Linked DNA regions of Arabidopsis thaliana. The protein of the gene in region 2 interacts with the protein of the main gene of each other region in a pairwise test. Each region holds a gene or a part of one and is shown on either strand. Other genes may lie near its edges.

What was found.
Region 1: the proteins of AT1G68185 (region 2) and AT1G27100 interact in a two-hybrid assay, tested with the Arabidopsis thaliana proteins (one study listed by BioGRID).
Region 3: the proteins of AT1G68185 (region 2) and PIP2A interact in a two-hybrid assay, tested with the Arabidopsis thaliana proteins (one study listed by BioGRID).
Region 4: the proteins of AT1G68185 (region 2) and DIR1 interact in a two-hybrid assay, tested with the Arabidopsis thaliana proteins (one study listed by BioGRID).

The regions. Positions count from the first base shown.
Region 1 is NC_003070.9:9,405,954-9,413,096, forward strand, and holds AT1G27100 (Actin cross-linking protein), read right to left. Parts: upstream 5,416-7,143; 5' UTR 5,122-5,415; coding exon 4,498-5,121; intron 2,642-4,497; coding exon 1,991-2,641; intron 1,889-1,990; coding exon 1,604-1,888; 3' UTR 1,132-1,603; downstream 1-1,131. Other genes in the region: AT1G27090 (glycine-rich protein), read right to left, coding at 1-145; AT1G27110 (Tetratricopeptide repeat (TPR)-like superfamily protein), read right to left, coding at 7,065-7,143.
Region 2 is NC_003070.9:25,554,437-25,559,633, forward strand, and holds AT1G68185 (Ubiquitin-like superfamily protein), read left to right. Parts: upstream 1-1,946; 5' UTR 1,947-1,967; coding exon 1,968-2,108; intron 2,109-2,222; coding exon 2,223-2,298; intron 2,299-2,386; coding exon 2,387-2,445; intron 2,446-2,639; coding exon 2,640-2,770; intron 2,771-2,906; coding exon 2,907-3,117; intron 3,118-3,569; coding exon 3,570-3,737; 3' UTR 3,738-3,744; exon of another isoform or gene 3,745-3,830; 3' UTR 3,831-4,097; downstream 4,098-5,197. Other genes in the region: AT1G68180 (RING/U-box superfamily protein), read left to right, coding at 380-1,064, 1,167-1,189; BBX27 (B-box zinc finger family protein), read left to right, coding at 4,784-4,855, 4,933-5,197.
Region 3 is NC_003074.8:19,802,528-19,807,756, reverse strand, and holds PIP2A (plasma membrane intrinsic protein 2A), read left to right. Parts: upstream 1-2,026; 5' UTR 2,027-2,302; coding exon 2,303-2,609; intron 2,610-3,077; coding exon 3,078-3,373; intron 3,374-3,500; coding exon 3,501-3,641; intron 3,642-3,731; coding exon 3,732-3,851; 3' UTR 3,852-4,284; downstream 4,285-5,229. UniProt on the Arabidopsis thaliana protein: Water channel required to facilitate the transport of water across cell membrane. Probably involved in root water uptake. Its function is impaired by Hg(2+).
Region 4 is NC_003076.8:19,645,142-19,648,884, forward strand, and holds DIR1 (Bifunctional inhibitor/lipid-transfer protein/seed storage 2S albumin superfamily protein), read right to left. Parts: upstream 1,700-3,743; 5' UTR 1,485-1,699; coding exon 1,176-1,484; 3' UTR 887-1,175; downstream 1-886. Other genes in the region: AT5G48480 (Lactoylglutathione lyase / glyoxalase I family protein), read left to right, coding at 301-517; AT5G48490 (Bifunctional inhibitor/lipid-transfer protein/seed storage 2S albumin superfamily protein), read right to left, coding at 2,791-3,096. UniProt on the Arabidopsis thaliana protein: Putative lipid transfer protein required for systemic acquired resistance (SAR) long distance signaling. May interact with a lipid-derived molecule to promote long distance signaling associated with SAR.

The DNA.
Region 1 (7,143 bases), about 16 Mb from region 2:
GCTCCTTGTTTAGGGTTTTGCCTTGAGAAATCGATTCTTCCATTTGAGTGATTCGGTTGTATTTCTTACGGAGAGCACGGAGACGCTTGTTGATGAGACCCATCACTGGTCCTTCAGAAGCTTCGGAGGAAGCAGTGGCGGCCATGATTATGGATTTGTGTAGGATTGTCGATAAAAAGAGGATCGAACTGACCGTATAGAAAATTCACCACCGTTGAGTAGCGGCGGCGGCAGTGGCGGAACAAGAGGAGGATTTGTTAGGGTTTTCAGAGAAATGGGGATAAGTTGAAGCGTCTGGTTTTTGGGTAGTGATAGTTTTGAGCTAAATATATAATAATTGATGAAAAATTCCAGTAATGCAAGTGAAATTATCCGTCTCAAAACAAAAGGAAAAAAATAAATAAATAGGAGTGTTCTATTTTCAACTATTTTGTGTAGATTTTTTCAAATTATTTTTGTGGATTACGTTTCTTGTATAAAAAAATTATTTGTCAATTTATTATTAGTTACTTGGAATGACATAGGGTATTTGTATTATTTTAAAATTGTATCAAGAGGCACTCTCTTTTCCTAAATGCAATACTTAATTTTATTAGTAAATATACCATTTAAAAGGGTAATATGTAAATAGGTAATTTTTGAAATACCATGTATATAATGACAAGTACATAGGTAATTTTTGAAATATCATGTAAATAATGAGTTTTAAGTTAAGAAATGAAATACGGTATTGTTACATAATAAAAACAGTTTGAAATTAAGATATTATCAAAGTTGTTAGGATATTGGGAAATATTCCACTTTTTTGGTGTACTTTAGATTCAATTTTATTCTAGATCCTTCTAGATACATAATGTTGTTTAAATATTCTGTAAGTAATTAGAAAACTCCAATCGTAGTATCGTACGTTTTTTTTTTTTTTTTCGTCAACGTAGTATCGTACGTATACATTAGGAATTATTCCTCTTTTTGTATATTCATTCTGTATATGACTTGATATTAAGGTCTTCGTATGCTTCATGATTTGTATTTTATGTTTAACGATAGCTTAATGGATACTTTAACTTGGAGATAGTTTCAACTTCTAACCCCTTTAACATTCGTGAATTGTGACAACAAAGTATTTATAAGATTTCTTGTCACAACTATCGTCTACTGGTCACTAAATCACTATATTAAGATAGGTGATTATTCTGATTTGGTTGTTCACGTCATCCAAACTAAATTTGGCTACATTCGAGTCATAATCTCCATTTACTAGTGAATAACTTATAAGAAATTAATGATTTTTGTTTATGAATCCATGCTCACACAAATAAACCCCCAAAATCCAAATGTTCGTTTACAAAGAAATCGCTTATTTACAAAAACAAACTTGTATTATATTCCCCCAAAAAATAATTTATAAGTCCTTCCTATTATCAAAACTCTTACAAATAGTCTATAGATTAAGCAAGGTTCATGTGCCGACGCCTTTTTTCAATCTATGTAACAACGAGTCTTGTACCAACTACCAACTCTTACTATCTTCTTATACGGTTCATATCATATGCTTCACCAAACAATCACACAATCACTCATTTCTAATTGTCTCGGGTCGATTCTAGAGGCTCGCGCTGGAGGGTAGTAAAATGACATGCAATGTTCCGTTGTTAGGAGGAAGTTGCAAACGAAGAGGAAACAGCTTGCCGTTTAAAGGACTACGAGTACACACCACAGCGTCTTCCATGCACGTTTCTTCTCGCAATGTCTGAGTCAGCTCCGCCACGCTATTTCCTTTAAACGTGAAAGCATATCCAACGGTTGTTTCATCTTCCACGTGTCCTTCCTCGTCAGCGACATGGTAATATATGGTTCGTCCATCAGATTTAGGCGGAGACTCAACCGACTGGTCAAAATCAAAATCAAAATTTTCAATAACCGGAAAACGGTACAACTGTAATTTTAAACAAAACCAAAGGTGTTTTAGGAATTTAGGAAAAGTACTCACATCTGAATCGGATCTGTCTGAAAGAGAAGACGAAGTCCTTGGAGACTCAGCCGACAACGGCGAACTCGTCGGTCTCCGATGCGGCGGTGGAGACGTCGTCTTCGGTGGCGGCGCTTTCGCAGACTCCGTCTTGAATTCGGAATCAGTCAAGATCTCAACAACATCAACATCCCAAGAAATCGAATCCTGAGTAGCAGACAAATGAGGAACGTCGTGTGTGACCGAGTTTCTCCAAGGAGGAAGACCACCATTACCTCGTAAATAGTTACCAGATCTAGTCCTAAGCTTAATCTTAGACCCTTCTCTAAGCGGTTCCCACTCAACAGACGAATCAACCCGACTCAGTTTCAACTGAATCACTTTCTTCCCCGTAGCCCCGAGCAAGAACCGCTCGTTAGAAGCGGTTAAGTACTTACCGTAACAGCTTTTAAGACGAATAACATGGAAAGAATCACGAACCGGTTCGACGGTCCATCGAGCGTTTTTGGTAGATCCGTTACGGTTTTGAGTTACGGTTTCTTCATCGTCGTCTGCTGTTAGATACTTGTTGTGACTGTTACGCATTCGAATAGCTTTTGCTTTCTGGAAAAATTCCATTGCTGAGACAGATACTGGTGTTTCTTTTTGGTTGAAGCTACTCGCCGTCGACTTCTGTAACAACAGAGAAGGGGAAATGAGCGAATAGTGATAAGAAGAAGAAGAAGAAGAAGTGAGAGATATGGTTATTTTATATGTGTGGTGGATCTGACACTGGACTGGTCTAAATTGGGTTTTTTAGTTTTTTACGGTTACGCGGACTAGGTAAGGTAAGAAATCTGGAAAAGTCGTTGCTAGCTGGATTAGAGCGCGTATCTAATATCCACGTCAGCAGAAATTTATGATTTGGATTTCTTTCCTTATTAGTATTTGTTAGAGCTTGTAACGCGTTGTTGTTTCACGTGTTTTGGATTTTGTTACTTTGTAATGTTTGTAAATCTTGAGATTAAAGTTAATTACGAGGATTCCAAGACACCAACTATTGTTAATTTAAACAGATTTTCAAGAAACAAAGCAGGATTTAGATTGTAACTAAAGTTTGTATTTGATTATATATAAAAAAATCAATGCTTTGAATTTTTCTTTAAAAAATTTGGTGTTAAATCTTATAGGAGAAGATGAAAAAAATTGGCCTTAAATTGTGTTTTATTTTTCTATATATCTATTAATTACTACAATGACTTTGTGAAAACTTTTATCAGTTGGAACAATTTTCTCTTACATATCTTCCAATCATTCATGATGTTTATTTCAGATTCTTCAATTCATAGAAGATTTAAACATAATACTAGGAGTCAATGTTGACTATTGAAGATTCATTTGAAATAATAATAAAAGGTATGGTACATACATTTGGTAAACTTTTATTTGCTATGTATATAATAATCTATATGAAGAGAATAAATTACGATAGAGATAGGTAACCAAATTTCCCAATAAAGTATCATTTTACATTGTTACTCTATACTTTTTCCATTATCTTTTAATTTTTCAGTACGTATTTAGTTCTATGATAAGATCAAAATCGGAACTAATGGACGTAATTCTTGATGAATAATATGTGATTTTCAGTTAGATTATAAGCAATTATGTGGTATAAGCAAATCAATATTAAATGGAAAATATTGAAAAATATAAATAAATAATTAAAAAGATAAAAGTATATGCCCTTTTCCCCAAAAATAATAGTGTCCCTATGCCATAAAAGAATGGATCGAAAAGATAGGATTTAAGCGAATATTTAGAAAATAAATCTATAAACCCTTGCCCGCAAGAAAGACCAAGAGAGGAAATTCATGAGTGTGGGACTCTCCTAATTGCATCCCTGGACCATATGCTCCATCACTAAATCATAACTACCAACTTTTTTACCTTACTTTTTGTTACACTTGTCTTATGTTAACTGGCACTAGATTTGTTTATCTTAAGCCATTAGGTACAAGTTTTTATTGTTAAGGAATAATAATCGTATTTTTCTTCTTTAATCATCCTTAGGTATAGCTTTTGTAAGAAATATACAGTCACTTAGTTACATTTTAGAGGTTCTACTACAAGCATTTCAAAACTATCCTTCAATCATTGAAGTAAACTTAAGTTGGATTGTTAAGTGTCATATTTTCAACTATAGTCTATTATAATAGATAAACTAATCAAAACTATACAATTAAAAAATCCTATACATTTTGGTGGTATTAGGTTGGTAAAACGATGTGTGTGCTTGTGGAGCATTATCTATGTTAGTGGAGAAAAGAAATGATACAGATCATGTAATTTTCTTTAAATTGTAGATACTAATACGGGTAATCCTCATCTTTTTTTCCATATGTTCATGCATGCCAACTAATTTCTTATATACAGAATTGTCTAAGTTCAACTCACAATAATAAATTTCTATATTAGCCTTAATTTAAACACAGAAATTAAGAAAAACTAATCAATGCACACTGAATAAAAGACTTAGTCAAACTTACCGGTTTTGAGGACCATCTCGGAGACGTAGATAAACCAAGAGAAGCAAACCGGCTAATACTACTCTTCGTAGACCTGGCAGAAACAGGTGACCCGGGTTCTGATCCGAATTCAGACCCGACCGGAGAAGAAACAGAGCTTTCATCACCATCAGACATGTTTTCAAGATCAGAACCATCAATAGTTATAACATCCCAAATCAACCAGTTCTTTGTCTTTGACGTATGAGGCTCATCGTGAGTAACAGAGTTTCTCCACGGCGGCGTTCCACCGTTAGCCCTCATCCACTTACCGCACCAAGATTTTAGCTTCACCTGAAACCCATCTCGCTCCGGTTCCCACTGCGTTTGCCAATCCATCAGCTTGTTAAACGACGCCGTTTGAGTCACTTTCTCACCGGTCATACCTAACAATAACGGTTTGTTGCTCGCCGTTAAGTACGTGCCGTGGCTGCTCTTTAACCTTATCAGATTAGGTTTATCGACGACGGGCTCCACCGTCCAAACGGCACGCCGTGCATCTCCTTTACGGCTTTGACGGATGGTTTCTTGGTCATCGTCGGCGACTAAAAACTTATCTAGGTGGCTACGTAACTTAACGTTGTTACCTTTTGTGAATAGCTCCATTTTTTCTTTTGCTTGAGATTTTGAAAGAAGAAGAAACAAAAACAGAGAATTTTAAGTTTGTGAAATGAAGGAGAAAGATGATGTTTGTGTTTGGTTATATAGTTTAATGACAAAAAAATAAGACAGAAAAAGCCTGGCTAAAAGGGTACTTTGTAAGTTAATAGTCGGAGGGATTATGCAGCTCGCAATTATTTAGAAATTTCGCAAAATCAAATGAAGAAAAGACTAATGAAAAAGTATTACGAAGGTTCTCCTCCACCTACGTAACTTGTTGAACATTTTACCTCACGCGCGTAAAGAACGTGATGTGAAGACTTTGATAGAAAATGTCTTAGGTTGTGGTTCAATGTTGGTTCTTTGTTTAAACCGGTATCCGGTTATAGTATAAGGTTTTATGGATGTGATTACAGTCCTGTGTGCGTGATAACTGATAAGTGTCTTTTGATCCCTCTAGTAATGAGTCTATGGACCTTATCGTCGATAAATCCGCACCATAATTCAAATCTTATCAATGTAAATTTGAGAATTTAAATTAATGAGGGAAATGTAAACTCATAGATTCATGAAAACCATGACGATCATGTAATATTGATGAAAGATCAGTTCAGCTAGTTAAATTATGTTATATGTAGCTCCATAATTGAATGGAATAATTATATAATCATAGAAGAAATCAGAATACTACAATAAAACTTCATATTAAATGTTGTGAAAAGAATGTATTTATGAAGAGGTAATGTAGAGCGCGTGGGCTTATTGTGTAGAATTGTCTCTTTTCCGTAGATAGAACCAAGAAAGTCATGAAGTAGACTTGTGAATATTTGTGTAGAATAATTTAGGATTAGTACATTTTCTAAACAGTTGCATATAAATAGATCTAGATACACACAACACATTGCCTTGTTATATACGTGTGACTCCTATCTTTCTGGATAAGCCGAAAAGTATTGATATCAGATTTTTTGGCAACATGTCATAGTTGAGTTTTTAATTTTTTTATATCCATTGGTTGGCTTATGTGGCCGACGTAGGGCTTTGAGAGACTCGGTCTTAATTTGTACCTTCCACACCAAATAAATATATTGGTTTGTTTTCCGGAGAACTCATGAAATTTCAATGTTTTTAGGTGACGCATGTAACTACAAGTCTTAACACTAATTTGTTTATAGTGAATTTCAGAAACATATTAGACGTCTGGTCATTGGTGTATTTTATATGGTATGAGAAAATCACTATAAGATCAACCTTATAAATTCATGGAAGTTTCACGACTTCTTGTTTAAGTGATACACTGATGCATGTAATTTACATGATGTGGATGTGGTTTCGGGTCTGGAGAGCTTACGGGTTTCGGTTCAGAACCTCTTAGTATTAAAAAAAAAAAAGTTACAAGTTTTTAGATATTAAATTACGAAATTAATGTTGGAAGCTTGGTGTAAATTATAAGATATATGTTCGAAAAAAATAATTAATTTTATCAGCCTTTTTGAAAAAATTTATATAGAATTTGCGATACAGTCACTTGACATTTTGGAGATCAATAATGTGGTATTCAATTTTTCTTTGAATGTTATTGAAATAATCTCGTGTATAGGACTAAGATTTAAGTCATTTTATTATTAAAATATAAAATATCTTTATTAAGATAAAAAAAAGTTGCATGTTAAAAATCATATAAAAAATGCAGAAATGGGCGTCCCCTAATCCTTAGACATGTTTCCATGTCGCAATTGAACAACATATCTAACTGTAACATACAGCTTTCAAGATCCATTTTAATGGTCTTCTAGTAGTTTTTTTCTCATAAACATCTTTATAAAATACTAATACAAAGTCAATAGAATGTAAATTTCAATTATATTAACAAAATTATTATTATTCTTATGCATTGACCATAACCATTGACTTATTATAAAACAACAAGACAAATGCCGTTTTGGCGATCAAGCAGACTTGAAATATGAAGATTCCAATGCTTTTGCTTTCTTACCTGCACTTATACCAGCTTTTTCCTTGCCTTCC
Region 2 (5,197 bases):
AACGAGCAATAATAAATTGTAAAATCTTATTTGGGTCTAATTAATTTCACTTCTGAGTCATACAATATGTACATGAACTAGTAAGTTGGAATGGGCCCATAATGGGCCGCTCAAATAACTCTCCTCCAAACCTAAAACCCTTTATCGTAATTGATTCTCCAAGCATCCTTTTGAATCTCTGATTCCTACAAGACAAATCACTAAAAGATTCGCAAGTTGACATAGCAGAGACCATACGACACCAACCTAAACACAGAAAAGAATAACTCATTCACTCGTATAGGCTTTGTCTTGCCTCTTCTTGAAAACATGTACACGTATTTAATTATAAATGCATATATAAAGATCCTACCGACGAAAAAATAAAAAGATTGAAAACATGACATCTGCTTATCGTCCAAGAGTTATTGTGAATGGAACAAGAAGAACAAGAACGTTCCATTACTTCTATTGTCGCCATTGTAGCCGTACCATTAGGCTAAGAAGCTTTGGTCTATATGGTCCCATATGTCCTTTCTGTTCTAGAGAGATCAATCTTCACGATGAGCTTGACATTATGAGGCCAAGCCGACCTTATTGGGATAGTGATACCGATTGGATCACTCTCCATCTTATCAACGAACCAAGAAGTAACCGGTTCAATCATGATGATCTAGTTTATAATACTGACGAGGAATTCGCTGATGTCATGCCTAGTGTACAAATCGGTCCACCACCAGCCTCGCAATCCGCCATCGAGGCTGTAAGGACGGTGATAATCACGGATGAAGATTTGGTGAAAGAGAAGGTTTGTGCGATATGCAAGGAGGAATTTGAAGTTGGAGAGGAAGGAAAAGAATTGAAATGCTTGCATTTGTACCATTCAAGCTGCATTGTGTCTTGGTTGAACATTCACAACACTTGTCCCATTTGTCGTTTTGAGGTTAACTTAGGTGTTTCCGAGAGTAACGTAGACGAAGGAGGGTCTTACAACATCGACAATGATCGATCAAATCGGTTTCGGACTCGGGTTTGTTCTTTGTGGCCTCTCCGAATGATGATTGATTGGGTACATAATCTCATAGGTAAGATTCCACCTCCCGATATAGCTTTCATGGCTTTTCTATTATGCTTATACGGGTTTTGACTATGATATTTAACTCTTAAAAATATATACAATTTCGCAGATATAAGAATAACAAACTCTTGACAAAAAAAAATTAAAGAATTGCAAACAAGAATGTATGAAACTAGGAATATTATTGACTACATATTAAGTGTATTATGACTTATGAGAGAGAGGAGAAGAAACACACATCAATAAGAAACGACAAAAAAAAACTACATAAAGAGACAAAGAGGGTGATCATGAAAGGCTAGAAGCGTGTTTATTTCATGAAACAAAACTTTGGCATTAACAAGACTATATTTGCATTAATTATCTTTTATTCATTTGTAAGTTGTAACAACATGTAAATAAAAAATCTTGGTAATAAGGTTAGTCCTCTACTCTACTAGCTAGGGTTCCATGATCTCTCATAGTCTCTGAAAACGCTTTGTCTCCCTTTCTTTGTTTCTTTCTCTCTCGTGATCATCGAACACAATTTACTTAGGTATGGTTTGAATAGCCTCACCAACCCTTTTTATTTGCCGGTTATCTTATTTTTGGCCTGATTTTGTAAAGCCGAGTTTGTGCCTTCTCGGTTTGGTTTACTATAACCTTCATGTAGAGCTTCCCATGGACTTCTCTACTAAAGACTTAGGATGAGTCTTGTTGTACCATCTTTTATTGTCATGCATTCAAAAATACCAACAAAATTCTACTAAAGTACAACAGATCTCAAATGACAAATACGCAATCAACTATGATGGTCACCCAACCCAATTAAACCAATCTGAAAAAAAAGTGTGATAACCAATGAAAACTCGGCCCACTAAACAGGCCCAACAAACAAATAATAAACCCAAGAGGTGCTTCTTAATCGCCGATGCCTCTCTTCATCAAAATTCAAAATCACTTTTGTCTTTTCAAAAATCACAGCAAAATAATATTCAAATTCAAAATCTGTCCAAATTCATCTAGGGTTTCTGATAAAACAGACGAAGAAGATCCAAATTCGCTAACAATGGTGAGAATTTTATGAATTCCCAATACCCCAATTTTTAAAACCCTAATTTTGTCTGTTGTGGGATTGTGTTGATGCCTGAGTTTTTCTGAATTTGTATTACTGATTGATGATCAGGGAGGTGAAGGAGAAGATCTAGAGCCACTTTTTGATTATCGTCGTGTTCAGCCAGCGAATTTCGTTTGTATCGATGGTGAGTTTCGATTATTTGATTTGGTCACTGAGCTCGACACTCGACAGTGATAAAGATGAATCCTTTATTATCGCTTGAATTTTTGTAGATGATGATGATGATGCCTCGGTGACGCCAATTCCGAAGAAAGCGAAAACTTCACAAACAGTAAGAATTGATTTTTATTGATTGGTTGTTGTCTCATTGAGCTCTTTGTGTTAACTTGATAGATACTTTTGGTATTGTGGGCTTGTAAAGAGTTTTGAATCAATGTCAGTGAAGGAACAATTCGATTATGTACTTCACAATTCATAGGTTGAATCTATCATCATTCCTTTTGGAACTTGAATCTTTTTATATAGGTTGAGAAGTTAGATGATGATGTGAAAGTGATTGAAGTTACGGGTGATGACGATTGGTTGCTTCCTCCACCAAAGGTTATCTTCGACAAAAGTAAAGACTCTGTTGAAGATTCAACTATTAAAGCATTGAGGTAACTTTTGTATGTCTTTGAGTATTTCTCATCTCTAAGCTTCCCATGTTGCTGTTAGAGGCTATGGTAGTGTTATTTGCTATCCGGAAAGAGTCCCAGTGTTACAATTTGATTATAAATGAAATATGTAACGTAGGTCGAAGAAGATGGAGCTCATGTCATTTACAAAAACTGTAGGAGATGTGATGCAGGAAGTTGAGGAGTCTGCTAAAAGGGAAGTTGAAGAATCTCGCAATCCATCTTCAGAGACTGCTGCTCAGTTACCATCAGAGCCTACGAATGACAGGGCCAAGATTGTTATTACAATACAGGACAAAGATGGACAGAAGACACTCCGGGTGTTTGCGGTAAGTTTTTTCACTGCTTGCCACTTACTATCCAACCTTCCATCGACAATAAGCTTACTATCCAAACTTTTTCTAGCTAGATACTAGATATTTAGTAGAGATAAGAATTAGTTGTTATGTCACCTTCGCTACTATCTAGATAGCTAGATATTTCGAGCTTTCTAGGAAAGCAAGAGTATAAATACAGGGATTAAAGAAATCATTGAATGGGGTCGAGTATTTGAGACGTGTATTAGTTGATGGATCTTTAAACTATTCTTTGAGTTCATCTAATAAACTAGAGAACGAGTTCATGTTCTTATCAATGTATCATCACCACATAGCATTTACACACAGAATACATATTGCTTGCTCTCTGTCATACAATGAGCCGCTCATTAATAGATATGCATATTCTGTTAAAGCTTGTAAAATATGAGAATGTTGATTTGGTATTTACCATTTTCTTGTAGGACGAGAAATTTGAGAGGGTTATCAAACTGTATACAGATAAAGCTAAGCTTGACCCGCAAAATCTTGTATTTATTTTTGACGGTGATAAGATTGATCCATCAACCACTCCTTCTGAACTTGGCATGGAGGATCATGATATGATTGAAGTGCACACCAAAAAAACTTGACAAATAGGTAACTTATGAAGTCCTCCACATCTTTCTTCTTGCTCTTATTGTGATATGATGATAACTCATTATCTTCGATTGAATTCAAGTCAGGCGCTAATCGGAATCTGGAATGTCAAATCTGTTCCATCTTTTGCGAAAAACCAGAGTTTTGTACATCAACATGGGCATGGGAAGGGATCTCTCTGCTAACATCTGGTGTTTGTATCTGTGACCTTTCTCATTTTATCGGAATTTTGTTTCTTTCTTTCTTTCACTCTTTCTGTCACTCTTTATTAGGCGTGTATAATATATAAGGTAAACCAAACCATTTTGATTTTAACTAATCCTATTGAATCCAATCTAAAAATCTAACTAAACTTTTGTTTGGTTTTAATCGTTATGCTTTCTCTATCTCTTGAGAAACATAAATATATATCTCACTAATCTAAGACAAAACTAAAACTATTGTATGTATAATCAGTATTGCTTTTTACTAACTGACAAAAACTGGAATCAATGGTAAATCGGTTAAATTCGGTTTAGTGTACTTTTTCCTTTGTTTCTTAGTAAATGTCGTTTTACACTGATATTTTTTATATTCAAATATAGTCTCATGACTCTAATATTTCTTGTTTTGTAACATTAGCTTTTAATATAATCTTGATAGAAAAGAAAACATCACATTAGTCATTAATAAAATTCTTAAAAATGTAAAATTATAAGAATTAACACATTCAAGTACTATTTATGTGTTTTAGTTCATGTGAAAAATAATAAAACCAATTAACGAACTAACCAAGTCGGATAATTGTAGTTTTTGTTTGGTCCGGAGTTAGCTACGACATGTGGCATACAATAATTGGTTAGGAAAAGCTAAGCTTTAAGAGTTAGAGATGATGGGTCGTGAAAGAAGAAGCTGTCACAGTGGCACATACGTCCGTGGCTTCCCCATATCTCACGTGCATACGGATAACGTAATCACCATTTTTTCTAAGTCCCCACCCAAATATCTACGTGGCTTTGCCACGTCATCCTAACCAAACCGACGGATTTGTTCAGATAATATGAAAAAGCTCCTAAAAACAGACAGAAGAAGCTTTTGTCACCAATCTCTGATCTTTTTAGTTCTCTTATCGGTAAAAACTTATTCTTCTCTTTTTGTTCGATCTGTGATCTCTAATAAACTAATTTGATATTTTTTTTGATGTAACAGGGAGGAATCTTTTATATGTTATGTATAATAATAATTGAGAATATGGAAAGAGTATGTGAGTTTTGTAAAGCGTATAGAGCAGTGGTTTATTGTATAGCTGATACAGCAAATCTTTGTTTAACATGTGATGCAAAGGTTCATTCAGCTAATTCACTCTCGGGACGGCATTTACGTACGGTTTTATGTGATTCTTGTAAGAATCAGCCTTGTGTTGTTCGATGTTTTGACCATAAAATGTTTCTTTGCCATGGATGTAATGATAAGT
Region 3 (5,229 bases), on a different chromosome or scaffold from region 2:
GGACTAATTCTTTCAATTGGAGTGACTAAAAAGGACAAAATTTATGCATAACGACGTCATACTATATGTAACTCGATTTGTCTAGAATATTTAGATAAGGTTAAGACTAGTTTTCTATGAATAGAAGAAAGTGTAAAATATATAAATAAACATACTAATAACAATTAACAACAGAACCAGAACCAGAAAATTCACATTTCTGTGCTTTTATTATCTAAAATTCACTTCGAAAAACATGAGAAAAAAGAGTTGGCTGACGTGGAATATTCGTCTAATAGTAGCCGACCAACGTAGCCAAAACGATAAGGTTTGCCACATGGCAAAACGATAACCATGGAACTGCATCTCCTGTCTTTTGTTTGGTTGTCACAATTTGTCATTTTTATTGGGATTTATTGTTTTGTTATATTTTCGTTTTCAGTCTAATTGTCAGCAATTTTCGCAAAAGATATGAAATTTTGGATATGAAGAGAAAATGCAAATGATTGGTGGGGACAACAAACGTGGCATTATGTGAGTGGTTGAGCGAACAAACGGCTATATGCTGAGATGGATTGGACGGTGACGATACGTTTGTCGGAGGGATCGGGTCGGTTAGTCACGCGCGCCACCCATTCACGTGTCACCTTTTGCCAACACAGACCATATGATTTTAACCTCAGTGGAATCTCGACCCACCCCACAAAACGGCACCATAACTTTACACCCTGGTTTTAGAGAGTGATATACCAACACAACAATTATGAAAAAGGGTTCGTTTAGGCTTTGGTTACTTTATGTTAGTAATATCAACTTAAATGCTAATTTGAGTTATGTGTGATAAGATATACGACGAATCAATTTACTTATCGTCAATTAAGTTTGAAATGAAAGTTTGTGAACGAAATAGTTTATGCTTCTTTAATATTGTGTCATAATTTTGAGTTCCGGCTCTAACATCTTCAAGTAGGGTTTTGTTTTATGACACCTCAAACATACTTAATAACATATGTTGGTGATAGAAAACTAGACCTTCTAGACTACAAAAATGTTTATAATGTAAGAGAATGACCATATATCTATCTATTTTGAAAACAAAGTGTTTTGACTTTGGTGAACAAGAAAAATGTTCTCTATATATACAATGAGACACTCGAATATAACCATGCATGATTAGTTGGATTTGGAGTGAAGAAACTTAGCCATGCTTCGTTGGAGCAAAATAAGGTTTTGGAGTTTTGTTATGTGTTTTCAAGAATGTAAATGCTGATTCGATAAAAAAAAAAAGTGGACGTAAGTTATTTTAAAATGATTTGGCATACAAAAACTGTGGCTTTTTAAATCTGAAAAATCGACAGGCTATGATATTATACGACAAAAAGAAGAGAGCACCATATTGATGATATAGTATATTGGGTCGGTCCTAAAGAAAATGACATTTAGGTGATGGGGGCGGCGAGGCTAAGTTAAAGTAAACAAAAAAAACCTCCATTATTTACCAGAAAAACATATAAAAATTTGATTGACATAAAAACTAATAAATTATTTCAAAGTTGTGGTTCTGATAGCTCTCCACCATCACCACTGATTGATACTTCCTATTGCTACGAGAGATAAAACTATGCAAGTTTATATGAGTGGATATAAAGTCTTGTTTTATGATATCATAAGCTAGCTAATCCCATATCATTATCATGTATTTATAGACGCATGTTCAATAGATTTGGATCAATCTTTTTGTCATGGACTTGGTGCAAACTATAACGTTAAATAGAATAAACTATTCTAATTTAGGATCTAAAATAAACTCGAATCAAATTTTAAAGAAATTTACTGGCTAACTTATTTGAATTTTTCAAATTTCAACGATTGAAAAACTCTAAGTCTGAAATTAAACTAGGGTTCTTGTCTTTACGTATTAGTAACTATGTATGATATTGATATATCAAGCAATCATTAAATAGAATTGGTTCAAAATTTATTTCAGGACAGCTAGTTCATAATCATTTTGTCAAAGCTACTTCCCTCATAATAATAATAATCATAACTCACTCGTATACTTTTATATCCAATTTTTTCATTGAAAATACAAACTTTCATTCCAAAAAAAAACCTCAATACACAAAAAACCAAAAAAACATATAACGTTGGCAAAAATACTAAAAATATTTTTTAAAAGATAAAGCAATAAAAAAGTATACAAACAAATTAACAAGAAGGAGAGCTCTCACTATAAAACAGAGCACATGTTCTTCTCACTAACCACTCCAACAGAGAAGCAAAAGAAAAAAAAGCTATTGTTTGAAAGAAGAAGAAGTTAACTATGGCAAAGGATGTGGAAGCCGTTCCCGGAGAAGGATTTCAGACAAGAGACTATCAAGATCCGCCACCAGCTCCGTTTATTGATGGAGCGGAGCTAAAGAAGTGGTCTTTCTACAGAGCAGTTATCGCAGAGTTCGTAGCCACTCTCCTCTTCTTATACATCACCGTTTTGACAGTCATCGGTTACAAGATTCAGTCCGATACTGATGCCGGTGGCGTAGATTGCGGCGGAGTTGGAATCCTCGGTATCGCTTGGGCCTTTGGTGGTATGATCTTCATCCTCGTCTACTGCACCGCCGGTATCTCTGGTATGATCCTTCTTTAATCTTGATTTTGGTTTGGTTTAGATTAAGATTATACACTTTTTGAGTATTAGAATTACAATTAAACCGAATAAGCTGAATAAGTTTTACTTATGTAAGTACAACTTGCAAACTCAAAATTTAGACAAGTAAAAATTATATGGTATGGTTTTGGTTTGTTTATTCGAAATTAATTATTTTGCAAGGAAAAATATTGCTTGGTTGACATTACTATTTAATCGGTTTAAAATCTTAGGTTTAAAAGACGAAAATGATTTGTTTATAAAACATTTAATAAGGGTCATGATCAAATCGGTTCTTATCCGAATGATATATATCTAATCTAAGCCTAGTAATTATTTTAAGCAACTGACTAACCCTGTCTTAACCAGAATTGAAACCGGTTAATTAATTGCTTGTTGTACCTTAATTCTCAAGTACTGGTAACATTGTCAACTCTTTTTGTTTCCTTAGGTGGTCACATTAACCCAGCGGTGACATTTGGGCTATTCTTGGCACGTAAAGTGTCGTTACCTAGGGCCCTATTGTACATAATCGCTCAGTGTTTGGGTGCGATTTGTGGAGTTGGTTTTGTCAAAGCCTTCCAAAGCTCTTACTACACCCGTTACGGAGGTGGAGCCAACTCTCTAGCCGATGGCTACAGCACAGGGACCGGTCTAGCCGCAGAGATCATTGGTACTTTCGTTCTTGTCTACACCGTCTTCTCTGCCACTGACCCCAAACGTAGTGCCAGAGACTCCCACGTTCCGGTGAGTCACATATGTAGTGCTATTAATCTTCAATATGGTTAACCGACTCAAAACCGGAACCAAAGCAAACCAAACCAACATTTGATTTCAATCATACTAATAAATTTGAATTTTGATGAAATAAAAGGTGTTGGCGCCACTTCCAATCGGATTTGCCGTGTTCATGGTACATTTGGCTACCATTCCCATTACCGGAACCGGAATTAACCCGGCAAGGAGTTTCGGAGCTGCCGTAATCTACAACAAGAGCAAGCCATGGGATGACCACGTAAGACCTCAACGTTTCTCCATTACATTCAACTATATTTTTCATTTTTACAAGGGAATAATGTTTTGAAATTTTGGTGATTACAAACAGTGGATATTTTGGGTTGGACCATTCATTGGAGCTGCGATAGCTGCATTCTACCACCAATTCGTTCTGAGAGCTTCAGGTTCTAAGTCTCTTGGATCATTCAGAAGTGCTGCCAACGTCTAAACACATCAAACCAGATTTCTCAAGAATAAATGAAGTTGTGATCTCTCTGTACAAATCTAAATCAGTCACTTGCAGTTTTCATTTCCCTTTCTTATATTTGTGTTTTCCACTTGCTCTTTTGTGAATTTTCCTTCGGTGTAATTGTTTTTTCTTTCGCTTTTAAACGAGTGATTGGAATTATAATCAATGAAATCAAAGAGGTTCTTATGCGTTGTGTTTACATTAATACTAGTACTAAAGTTAGTTTCCTTAGAGAATAACAACACCATGGGGCCATGTTCTTGGTCTTGTTTACGTCCTCCTCAAGATGCTCAGTGAATAAGCAGGATTTTGGAGAAACACATGTCTCTGCTTTAACGCAATCATTATCTTTCTAGAAAAGACCATTCCTTTATGTCTTCATACATCTCAGGCGGATAAAGCCTAGCGTGCACCAGCAGTAAGTTTTAGTTACTCTCTGAAACCGCCATTGTCCATTAACCCCATATGCCTCAAAGGCTCACAGAAACTGTTACATTCAAGATTCAACATACTTAGTCGTTTGTTACTTGACAATTATGAATCATATAGGAAATGCTCGAACTTGGCTGAGGATTGAGAGTCTTACCCTTCAGAATCTGCATTTTTTATGAGAACGTGAAGAGGTGTGGCCGCTCAAAATTGGCCTCTTGGTGGCCTAGCCTCAGCCTCTGAGACTGCCTACCATCCAAATCCTTTAATTACGAAAGTAAAACATGTGTTAGATGTTTGATCATTTACTGTAAGAAGTACTAATCGAATAAATTGTTATGCGAAGAAGAGAAATGATGATACTACTGCACCATTCAAAGAATTGATGGAGTTTTGAACCTCTCGGGAAGAGCTGAGTGTCACAAACCCAGTAGATCAGATTTGATATCGAGAAAGTTTCTAAAGGGACCTCATACAGTAGTAAGAAAATGACGAATGTAGTGATACAATAGGCTGGGATGCTTACGAACGATTTATGTTGTTTACTCTGGAGATGCTTGGCGGACAATTCAAAGATTTGGCAAACAACATCGCATAATGTACAAGAAAAGGCATATTCACCCCATCTAATACACGTCTCCCGAAGCTTCCTCTGTTCATTAACCGTAGACGAGACCTTCCTGAACCCGTTGCATCTGTGTGGGAAACAAAAAGAAGAAGGAGAAAAACTTGTTGTGCTGGTAAATTATTTCACCTGTGAGTGAGAGGACAAAACACACCTTCTCGTAAGTCTTCTGGCCAGAGCCACCGTGCTGGAAATTTTGGAGGAAATGGACATGCCTGAAAAGTTGTGTCTCCCCTCCGACGTTTGTCCCACATTACAAACGTTTGATCAGGTAAATCCGACCTTGTTTATTATCGAACCTGT
Region 4 (3,743 bases), on a different chromosome or scaffold from region 2:
ATGTTTTCTGTTTTTTTTTTAGGTTTTTGTTCGTTTAGTGTTTGATTTCGTTTTAGATCTGGTTTTAGGTTGTTTTATTAGAAGAAATCTGGAGAATAAATCATGTTTAGAAGTTATTCCTCTCCCTTAAACACGATTTTTTTGTTCGTTTTAGATCTGGATTTAGGTTTTTGAAATGAATAGTTTTTGGAAACTTTTATAACGCTTAAAAAACTATTTTAAGTGGATGATTGTGCCTTTTCTTAAATACGATTACTGTTTACTTATGTGGTTTTGTTTCTTTTTTAAATCGTTAAACAGTGCGAAATCGGAAGGTTCGGGAGTGACTTTTCTTCTCGGAACTAAGGATGCTGAAGCCGCCGTTGCGAAAGCTGTTGACGCCGGAGCTGTGAAAGTGGAGGTTACGGAGGCAGAAGTTGAACTGGGATTCAAAGGAAAAGTTACGGATCCTTTTGGTGTCACTTGGATCTTCGCGGAGAAGAAGACCGTGATCACCGACGAGAACAAAGAGGTTTAGAATCTGTCGTCGGATCTAATTCTTCGTCGGTTTCTGAACAAAAAAAACTATCTATTATCCTAGGTTTATGCTTTTATTTTGTCTTTTGTGGAATCCGGTAATCAGTAAACCGGATCGAGTAGGCTAATGACTTTCGGATTCTAATTTCACCCCTTTTGACAAACTCTAATCTTGGTGAAATTGCATATTAATCTCGGGCTATATTATGTTTTGTTGATGATTTCGCTTCTCTATCTATCTTCTATAATCGTTCTGTGTTTAATCTGTGTTCTTTGTCATTTTTGTTGGTTTAGTACTAAGGGTATAATCGTCTATTTGGAATGAAAATGAAATGGTTAGTGATTAGATAAGACGGAATTAAGAATATTTGTTGTTTTGGTGTCAGAGTGTTGAATACTGTGTCAGAGGTAGTGAAACCATAAACCTCTGTATTTGTGCTTTGTGGTTTCTCTCTATCGCTTATTGGTTACATATTTTTCGAAATTGCCCTTCCGTGTTTGGGCCTTGTGTAGTTTTCGATTGGTCCTCTTTCTTTTCTTTTGACCAGTTTTTGGGGTTAACCCATAAACGCCATTTGGCAGAAAATACGATTTATTAATAACATCCGATATTTAGAATAGGAGTAATAAAAAACATAAACACACGTATACAGAGTCTTTTAACAAGTTGGGGCGTTGGCTAGACCACACTGTTTGGGGAGAGCAGAAGCGAGTTCAGGATCAACACCGAAAGAACCGAGCCATGGAGAGTTCTTGTAACCACAAAGACATGCAAAATCAGCGTGTTGCAGAGCGGTGCAGCAAGGCTGTGATGGGCTCGTCGGATTCTCCTTGCTAACCGCTGGTTTGCACTCATTCAACTCATCCTGGCTCATGCCGCAGAGATCTATCGCTACTGATGTATCGACCAACATAGCCATTATCACGATCATCGCCATCATAACCATAGCTGCTTTCTTGCTCGCCATATTATTATCCTCCTCTCTCTTTTTCTATATGTTTGTTTGTGTTTGTGGTGTTGAAATGAATGTGCATGAGAAGGTGTATATATATCAAGTTTTAGAGAAACCCGTGAACCAGATTGGATTGCTCCATATAGTCACGGGGATGTGTTTTTCCACTTTACTTTTGGGAGAGGGTCTTTTGTCATAGAATCATAAGCTTTCGGATTCTTATCAATTATCAAGTATCGATTACACAATTTCCAGTCCACAAATCTTTTACTACAAATGGAAAAAGAAAATTCAACTTGCACATTGTATTTGTATATAAAATTCTCTTTTAATCGAAAAAAAACACATTAATAAACATCCGCAAAATACTGGGCCTGATATGAGCCCAAGTAAGAGTACTCTAAGAAGTTTCACAAATTACGAAAATAAAACAGTTAGCGAGTATTACTGTTAAGTGTCAACAACAGTTAGCTACTTTAACCACAAAACAAATGAGAACATCAGTTAGTATATAAACGGGACAAAATATAGAACGAAGAATAAATCCAAATCTCTAGATTCTCAATTTTTTTGCTGTTCTATTTTCAAATAAATGTTTTATTTTCTTTGAGAATTTCAGTCCTATTAGTGTAATTAGTGATAAACTCATAAGCATGGCACATACGAGATGATTATTTGGTCTACGAAATGGTTTAGTGGATTTAATATATGTATTTTTATAGTTGATACTTTTTCACCATCTAATCGTTTTTCAACTACAATTACTGTTTTTACCGGCGATCACTGTTTTACCGAAACCTAAAAAGTAAAAACTGTATAGTGGCAATCATTATTTTACCTAATTCACAATTATCTTCTTTTTGTTAAAGAGATTTTAGGAAAAGCAAATTAGGCCTTGGCCAACGAAGGTTAGAAATAGAAAGACTATAACAAATGACCAATTTTAAAGGTATATGAGCCAATGGAAAAGAATAGAAAAAGGAGGAGTTCATTCTTCATAGTCAAAACCATCAAAATTTCATTTGCAATTAGATTGAGATCTATTGTTCATGATGAATTTGATGCAACAACAGCATTTTCATGACTTTGTTTTCTCTATTTTCATACTATTTTTTGGTGAACTTTTTGTGACGTTTTTATGATAAGTATTTTTGATTTTATAGGTTTAGATCATTGATATTATTTTGTGAAGTGTGAACCATAGCTATGCGATAATCTCGGTATGAATCTAAGCGAATCCATTAAAATATCCTTATATTTAATTAGAATATTCCATTAAACATGGTAAATAATAAACAAACAAAGGAAAACACCATAATGCTTAACAAGTTGGGGCGTTGGTTAGGTCACACTCTTTAGGGAGACTAGAAGCGAGCTTGGGATCTACACCAAAAGAACCGAGCCACGGAGAGTTTTTGTAGCCACAAAGACAAGTGTAGTCAGCATGTTTCAGAGCGTTACAACAAAGTAACGATGGGCTCGTCGGGTTATTCTTGCTCACCGCTGGTAAGCATTCATTCAACTCTGCCTGAGTCATGCCACAAAGGTCAATCGCCACTGACCTCTCAACGACTAAACTAGCCATCACCATTACAATCACCATAATTGCCACCTTCTTGCTTGTCATTTTATCCTCTTTATTTTTTATATATTTGTTGTGTTTGTGGTGTTAAAATGAATGTGCATGCAATGGTGTATTTATTATTAAGTTTTGGAGCAAACCCGTGAACTAGATTGGATTTTCTTTCTTCACTTTTGGGATAGGGTATTGGTCACTTGGATTCTTATTATTGCTGCTCTTTTTTGTTTTTTTTTGGTATTTATCAATTATCCACAATCTCCAGCCCACAAATCTTTTACTACAAAATGGAAGAAGAAAATTCCAGAGTAATACAACTGGCACATTGTGTAAATTTTCTTGATATTGATAAACATATGTTGCTTCTTACAAATATTTGTGGATTAATGGCAAGTAATTTGTATGCCACTATAACCAAGAAAAAAATACAACAGTTATTTGTATGTCACTTGCTGATTATTTGTCACTTTTTTTTTCCGGTTAAAATTTAATTTAAATTTATAACATAATATTATATTTACTTTTAAAAACTAATTTAAAATAAAATATATCTCTATAAATAGTAAACAATCAAACAGAAAATTAATAAAACTAGTCATGAATTATTGTTTTTGTCTAAATCTTATTATCCGTACTTGCGAGTATCTAAATTACGTTATTTGTTATTTACTTGATAACGATGAATCTTGTCTAAG